Xenopus tropicalis: one gene and its partner. The protein of the gene in region 1 interacts with the protein of each later gene in a pairwise test. Links are inferred from orthologs where the notes say so. Each region holds a gene or a part of one and is shown on either strand. Other genes may lie near its edges.

Region 1 (3,825 bases):
GTACTTCCTTGCAGGGCCCCCCCAGCGTCCTCCACCACCCCTCCCGCTCGCCTGATTCATCCGGCTTTACCCACCACCCCTCCCGCTTGCCTGCTGCTTCCTCCGGCTGCTTAGGTTGCAGTATGTGGGGGAGGATGTGGGGGAGCTGAAGTATGTGGGGGAGGATGTTGGGGGGAGCTGAAGTATGTGGGGGAGCTGAAGTATGTGGGGGAGCTGAAGTATGTGGGGGAGGATGTTGGGGGGAGATGAAGTATGTGGGGGAGCTAAAGTATGTGGGGAAGGATGTTGGGGGAGCTGGAGCATGTTGGGGAGGACGCTAGGGGGAGCTGGATGATGTTGGGGAGGACGAGCTTTAGGACGCTGCGGGGGGGAGATTGAGGATATTTTAACTGCAAAAGTTGGGGGTCGTCTTGTACGCCGGAAAATACGGTAATTGTTTTTTAAATTGGATTTTTAATAATCATTCACTTCACGCAAGAATCATCAAGTTCTAGTAAATACAGATTAAATACATTGTTGTCTTTTACTATATACAGTAGAACCCCCATTTTACATGTTTCAATGTACCAGAAAAAATTTATATTTATACTAGTGCCTACCCTTCCCTTCCACAATATGGTGGGCAGGACAGGTGCGGTTATATAAATAATAATAGTGCTTCCAGATTTGGTTAGTTTTGGGCTAGGAGAGAGTTAGTATGAGTCAAGCATGGATTTGCACACTATATAGTTGCTATTGAGATTGAGATTTTTTCCTGGTACAGTTTTGCAGCAAAATTTGTTAGTGTGCGATGTATCCACCCCTCGCCATTTGTGTTTACTTCTTACTTGCACATTTGGGGGCAGCTCCATAATTAATGGAAAGTTAAAAGGGTGTTTTGGTCAACCTGATTTGGAATTTCTGTCCTAAGCAACTGGGACAGGAAGAGGGGGTGGGGCTTCACACTATACCAGGAAGAAGAGGAAAAGAGCTGGAGATTTCAATTTATAAGTCAGAAACCAGATAAGACTGAATGTAGGGACTAAGCTATATTATTCTGGGGGTTGTTTAGAGTAATTTTAAAGAAAGAAAAAAAGGTTTATTTATTTAAATTTCCTTTGTTTTATTATTGCTGCAGTTGTCTGCTAATTTATCTTTTCTACTCCAGTCATGCCCCTACAACTATCCAGTGACCATTGTCCATCATCATTCATCATCATGCTGCACCTGTATATGTATTATAATAATGACTAGTGGTTAGCAATTAGATGCTATTGGTATTGCTAACAGTCTAGCAGTCCTTTTGTTTTCACAAAATGGTTTAGCAGATGGTTTATACATACATAGGAATTTTTTGTACCACCCTATGTATTGTTATTTAGGACAAAAATAAAAACACAAAAACTATTTCCATGCAATAATTATTCATGAAATACCATCTTTAAATAATTATGCATGGAGGAGTATATTTATGTTTTATTTCCTCTTTCTACAGGCAATTGTCTTCACACACTGGCTGCTGACAGTATTGTAAGTATTATACACTGTTGCCGAGTAACCTTGCATATTGCATGCTTTGCTATAGAACAGTACATAGGGGAAGTAACCATGAAGGTTACTTATCTGTGTCGGCAACTTATAGGTGTATATTTTAGCCTCTGCGCAGTTTGTATGCCCCCCTCAGCTTGCAAACAATAATTTTAAATTGACTTGGTGCATAATTCATTAATACAATGAGGCAGTAAGTACAATGGGGCAGTAAGTACAATGAGGCAGATTCAAAATAAAACCTAGGAATGCAAAGAAATTGAGACATAAAATTAGCTATAGACTGGTGTCTGGTGTCTGGTGTGACTTTAATATTATCAAAACTCGCAGAACACAGGGGCTGCTATTCCCTGTATTAACTATGCACAGCAGTTTAATGTGTTTATGCTATAATACTCTGTTGTAAACTAATAATAGATACTAAATAATATTAATAAATATTAGATGTAAGACCTTACCTGTAAAGTCAGCCATTCACATGCTGATCCCATACACTAACCAATGGACTAATCCTGAGATCCCCATACTTTTTGTATTTGTCTCACAGTTTGCAAACCATTGGGTTAATACATACAGAAACCGAATCTGTTTTTAAAATGTATTCGACTTAATGGAAAGATTTTTTTTAGCAGTAAATAATGTTCTATAAATGATTTCTAAACTGAAATCTAAATAATGCAATAATATGCATGTTTCCTTTGTCTTGCAGTGCATGCATGATTGATTGGCTTCCTAAAGCCTATGGTTTGGCAAACATAACAATCCTGGCAATGGGAGTTTGGGCAATTGCACAGAGGGATTCTATTGATGCAATTTTTATGGTAGGAAAGCATATTCCTCTGAATTTTGCTGATTATGTGTTTCAGACAGACAACTGGATGTTTTCTCTTTCAGTTTCTCATTGGGCTGTTGCTGACTATTTTGACTGATATCCTTCTTTTTGCACTGTACTTTACTGAAGCAGAGAAAGCATCAGAATCAGGACCTCTTCGAGATTTGTTTCGCTTTAGTTCAGGCATGGGCATTTTCAGCCTGCTTCTGAAACCTTTGTCTTGCTTCTTCATGTATCACATGTATCGTGAGCGAGGGGGAGAGTACTTTGTCAATCTAGGTAAGTGAGAGCTAATGTTGCTTTCTTATAGTTACAGTCAATGAGTCATTTATAATAGGTGTCCTTCAGTGACCGTACAAATGCATTGTGTCCTCTGAAAGAGGAGTGTCTATTTCTCCTTACTTTAGACATGTTGGGGATGCCTGAATAAACTCTAGTTACATTTTAGTGAAATATTAATGCATTAAGTGTATTGAATGATTGATAGTGAGACAGGTCAGGTAAAGTTATGTTTGAAGTACATTCTTGACCTTTGCTGTATGCAAAACTTCATTATAGTAAGGTTTTAAGAATAATTGACCAATTAGATTGTCCATAACAATGTTTACATTACATTACATTTTAAGGGGTAACTATTGCAACGATGAAAATTTAATATAAGCTTCATCTTACTGAAATAAAAAAAATTCTATATTTAATCAATTATAAATTCTGTGCCGTTATTAAAATAATAAAGCTTATCTTGACTATCCACTTTTCACCATCTGTCTCTTTTTATACAGGAGTTAGGTGTCAGATTTTCTTTGGCAGTTATATATATCTTTAAGGGGGCTGCCTTTCCTAGCAGATGTGTTAGAGCTAGCTCAAATAACTTATTTCAGCGAAACAAAATCTAATAAAATAATTGACTTAGCCCATGACTAAGTGCATTTGGGCAAAAAGGCATAGCGCCATTGGAGGTGCTTACTTTTTAATTCAACTTTAATAAAGAGGATTTTTATTTTTGTGTCCCCGTGGGTTTCTGTTGCCCCAGGTTGTAAAATCACTGTTTCAGTCCACCTTTTGAAGATATGGGGTCACTTTCTGCTTCTGAGTATGACATTGTCTTCCACACCTTGGCTGCTGAGGTTTCCTGGAACAATGGTGCATATTACTTTGAGGAATTGGTGTCCTATTTGATCTGTATTGACTCCAGAATGAAAGAGAGACAATTGCAAAAGCCTTGCAGTTGCAAGTATCTTCCTATCTCTATTTCAGCTCCTGATTTGTCACCCTCCCAAACTGATGATCCCATGCAGTTTGGTGCCACTCTTCTAACTCCTGAGAAGAAAACTTGCAGAAGAACAACTGATCTGTAGTTATAACTGAAATCTTTCTTAAGGTTTCGCCTGAAAAAATGCCTATAGACTCTAATGGCCACAAAAAATAGTTGCGCAGGATGGAAAAAGTCGCCACAAAAAAGTTGA
Region 2 (4,443 bases), on another chromosome or scaffold:
ACCGGTGGGATGGTATACACCGGCGATTTACATTCTAGCCAGTGGGATGGCATTGCGGGGAGATTAGTCGCTCGCGGCAACGAAGATTTGTGGCAGGGCAGCTAATCTCCCCGTCTGCCACTGTCCTTATAGGGGTTTTAAACCCAAATAGAGAATAAATATAAACATACTTAATTGCTGAATCTGTTCAAATTGGATTGAATTAAAAACAAATCGCAAGACCTTATTCTGATCAAGATATGTCACCTTCCTGGGTTAGTTCCACACTCTGTAACAGTCAGGCTTCACATTAAGCCTTGCCGAGTCCTCTCAGCACTCAACCATCTGGTCGCGACTCCCTCTGTTCCTTCGCAGTGGCAGGAGGCACCCCCAGCTCCTCTGGGAGTTCCTAACACAGGCAGCACTCCTGCCCTGTGCCCTGCTCTGAGAGTGACCTTCACTCAGACAAGGATCAACCTCAAACTCTTTCTCTCAGAAAAACTGACTCCTTGCTGCACACCCAGGCTCACCTTAAATGCTTCAGGTGTTGCCTAATTGGCTCCAGCATTCCCCAATTGGCTCCAACATTCCCTAATTGGCTCCAACATTCCCTAATTGGCTCCAACATTCTCTAGCCATACTTCAGGGTCCTAGCCTCTCCTGCCCTGGAGATTTAAAGGAGCCAGTACCTCAGCCTGGGTGTTATATATCTGCCATCCAACAGACACTTCTCACCAAGACAAACCTTTTTGTCACATATGGAAGACCCAATGTCCCAAGCAATCTGGATAACAGGTCCCAGTTTACCTCCCATATCTTTGTTTTTGTATGTTCGATGTATACACCCTTCTCATACAGGGTTGTGGATTATGGTTGAGCTTTGTACATATGTTACAAATACTACTAATAATAATAAATGTTTTTGAGACTTTCACAGTTTTTGTTGCACCTCTTTCAGGCTTCCAATTTCAACTGTGATGCAGTTGCCAGGACATAATTACCCTAGCAGCCACCAGGCGAGGACCTGAAAATGAAGAATGTAAAAATGTAACAGTAGTTGACTGTCCTCAGCCTTCCTTGTGGGAATGCACTGTTGGTTACATAGTTTCTGCATGCTGTAAGCTGTGGAGATGTTTTAGTCCCTTCTCCCCTGCAAGGATTTCAAATAATGCAAAAAGAGAACTGTTTTGCAGTTGGATTTCAGCATGTAAAAATGGTATTTGTTCATATTACAGATTGCACTATTACAGTATATTTTAAAAAATATTTCCATAGTATTTATAATTTTTCCAATGCTGTATAGAGAATGCATGGTGCAGTCTGCTGAAGGACAACTTACATATATTACTTGTTTTCCCCATAGAATTATATATGAAATCCTATGTGAACACAGAACTGGAAAGCTTGCTCTCCATGTCCCCCCACTGCATTCCATGCCTCAGTGAATCTGCTGTTGATTGCTCTGCTCTGAGCATCTCAGGGAAGCACAGTAAGCAACTCCCCATGGCTGCTGATACTCAGTGCCTCACCTGAGCTGAGGGATGCTGCTGATGTTATTGTGTAGTTGCTGACATCTGGGAGGAGAATCTGAGGAGAGCTCAGTTGTGTTGATGGTCGACATAAACAGAGTAGCAGCTGCAGCAGTTACTGTGAGCCCCAAGCATTGTCTGAATGGAAGCTGCAGCCTCTGCACATCACAGCACTGTCGGTTAACCCCTGCTACTGATGTAACATGCCATACCGAAGTCTGCGCCCTGCAGTAAGAGAACGGAGCAGCTAAGTGGGCTGATTGGAATCATGGCCACAGACAGTAAGTGTTTGGGGAGGGGGTGTCAAAGGAATATATTGTTGCTGTTTGTTTGTTTACATTCAAGCTCAAGGAGACTGATAGCTTGGCCTTGTATTACAGAATGCAGGGAGAGTAGAAGGGGAAGGTGTGAGAGTTATGTAATACAGCTTGAAGGCTAAAGTTTCTGCTGGAAAGCGGGCATTCTACATAGTGTGTTAAGTACTATTCAAAAACACATTATGTTGCATTATGCACAATGATATAAAAAGGTGAACGTCGCTCTGTATGTTTATGCTTTGTTGCAGACCTGTAACTAGTCCTCTAGTTCCATTGCAGTTGTCTTGTCGGTTTGCTGCAGAAGGGTTTTCCTTTTGTAGTGCTCTGTAAATCCCCTTGTGTTGTTGCAGCAAGTAGGAATCTTGCAGTGGAATCTGAGATATGGTTGGCAACGTAGAAGTAGAAACACAGAAGCAATCCTAGAGCCCAGCCTGTTGTGTTGTGTTTGGGCAAAAGACAGGTCTAGAATTCCAGCTGGATCTTTAATTGGCAAGCTCTTTTTCATCGACCCCTACTGTTGCAGTGTCTTTTGAGGATCACCTTTAGAGTTAGAATTGTAACTCAATTGACTGCATATTTTTTGGGGTGTCTATAAGATGCAAGTGTTTTTATTGGAGCAGTGACACTCCCAGTCTGCTAACTTCTCACAAAGTTGGGTGCAAGTCCAGAGTGTTCAGGCATGATCTGAATGGGCTGGCCACACCAAAGTTGCAGCATTCCACAGCTTTGTATTAATTGGACAATCAGATTGCTACTGTTCTGATTCATGCACTTGCATTTAATTACTTTATAAACACTTCATCTGACTGCAGTAAAACCAAAGGCTGTCAGATTAGTTCCTTAAGGCCATATACATACTATACCCATATAATATCTAGGCATTAGGCCTACGAGCCATGGTGTTGCCAGCTTTCTGTTGGTCCATTTATTTGGGACAACATTAAAAACAGCAAAAAGTGAATAAAAGCTGCAGCTTCTGTATCTGCTGAGCACTTGCTAAGATGGAATTTTCAAACCTGCTTTATTAGTGAACTGACCAATATCCATAGCACATAGATATCAGTCTATTTTATCAGTATATGCATGGCCAACTGTAGACTTTTTTTCTGGCTCAAGGAGTTCTTTCAAGACCTGTCTCTTTAGGGATTCTTCTCTCCAAAACTACTTCTGACCAAGTTTCTTCTATTAAAGGCTGTATTGAACAATCTGCAGAAATTCTATATTAATGTCTTTAGTATATAACTTGATTCCAAGTACAGGTATAGGACCTGTAATCCACAATGCTAGGGACCTGGTGTTTTTTCAAATAAGTGGTCTCCATACCTTGTCTACTAAATAATCATTTCAACATTAATAAATACAATAGGATTGTTTTTGCCTCCAATAAGGATTAATTATATCTTGGTTGGGATCAAGTACAAGGTACTGTTTTATTATTACAGAGAAAAAGGAATTATGTTTTACAATTTTGAATTATTTTATTAAAATGGAGTATATGGGAGATAGCCTTCCCATAAATCAAAAACGTCTGAATAATGGATTTACAGATAATGGATTCCATACTTATACTACCATTTTTGGAAAATTAAAAAAGTATATATTTATATAACCAATCACATCTTTTCAATGTTCCTAGCACTACTTCCTTTTTACTATCCTTATTCCAATGATTGTAAACCTAGGCATTTATTCTGTTTTTGTTTTGAACTTTGTTAACAGTTCCAAACTGTCAGTTGGTCCACTGAGCTCCAGTTAATGTGTTATTGCATTACAAGCATGATTCATTATTAAAGACCCAGCAGTGAATACATCACTTAGCCCAGTCACAAGCATCATAATGACTTTGCACAAGTGGTTAATGATAAAAAGATGTCTCCCAGCTGAATATGAAAAAGGATTTTCATCTTTTCCCAGCCCTTCTGGAAATGAGAGCTTTATGTGTTCAACTTTGTTTATTTTTATGCAGTTCTGTTATTCAGCAAATCATTGTGTGGACACATAAAGACAGCAGCCTTTTAATTAATATCACAGATTTAATTAGTCCTGACATGGATTTTCCTCCAACTGTTTTTCAGAATATTTAGGCAGAGTAGGGCAGGGCTGATTTATGACCTCTGACTGTAGCATTGCCCATACACACTAGCTTATTTGTTCCTCATTCTGTGGGTATAGCATCACATGAACTTGCCTGTGTGTCTAAAATCCTACATAGATCTGCTCTGACATCTATAGAGAGAGAGAGCTAGGCACTGACACAGTCTGATAAGCGCATCAGGAAGCAGAGAAAACATTATCAGGTAAATGGTAAGTATTTGTGTGTATATTTTTCTGTGTAATTCTCAATAAAAAAACATGGAGTAAGCCTATGTAATTAACAACTGACTACAGGTGCCAGCAAGCATGGCTGTCCATGATCTGACATGGAAATACAGTGCATAGTGGGTTTAGATACCCAACATTCAAACATTCATAGTTTGCCTTTGGGCTTAATGCATTAAGGTTTGGCTGCTCACTGGCTTGAATAGTATGAGGATGGGTGATTAGATCTTTAAGATGTACTGTAGCGGAGCAGTTGTTTGAACGATATGCATTTAAATTGATTTTATTATGCTTGCTCG

Evidence for each region.
Region 2: the proteins of agtrap (region 1) and syt16 interact in binary tests that used the Homo sapiens proteins (3 or more experiments, as listed by UniProt). The link is inferred for Xenopus tropicalis from reciprocal best matches to the Homo sapiens genes AGTRAP and SYT16.

What each region holds. Positions count from the first base shown.
Region 1 is NC_030683.2:65,689,002-65,692,826, forward strand, and holds part of agtrap (type-1 angiotensin II receptor-associated protein-like), read left to right. Parts: intron 1-1,474; coding exon 1,475-1,509; intron 1,510-2,236; coding exon 2,237-2,348; intron 2,349-2,421; coding exon 2,422-2,638; intron 2,639-3,825. UniProt on the Homo sapiens protein: Appears to be a negative regulator of type-1 angiotensin II receptor-mediated signaling by regulating receptor internalization as well as mechanism of receptor desensitization such as phosphorylation.
Region 2 is NC_030684.2:101,926,280-101,930,722, reverse strand, and holds the start of syt16 (synaptotagmin-16), read left to right. Parts: upstream 1-1,478; 5' UTR 1,479-1,776; coding exon of another isoform or gene 1,777-1,789; intron 1,790-4,443. UniProt on the Homo sapiens protein: May be involved in the trafficking and exocytosis of secretory vesicles in non-neuronal tissues. Is Ca(2+)-independent.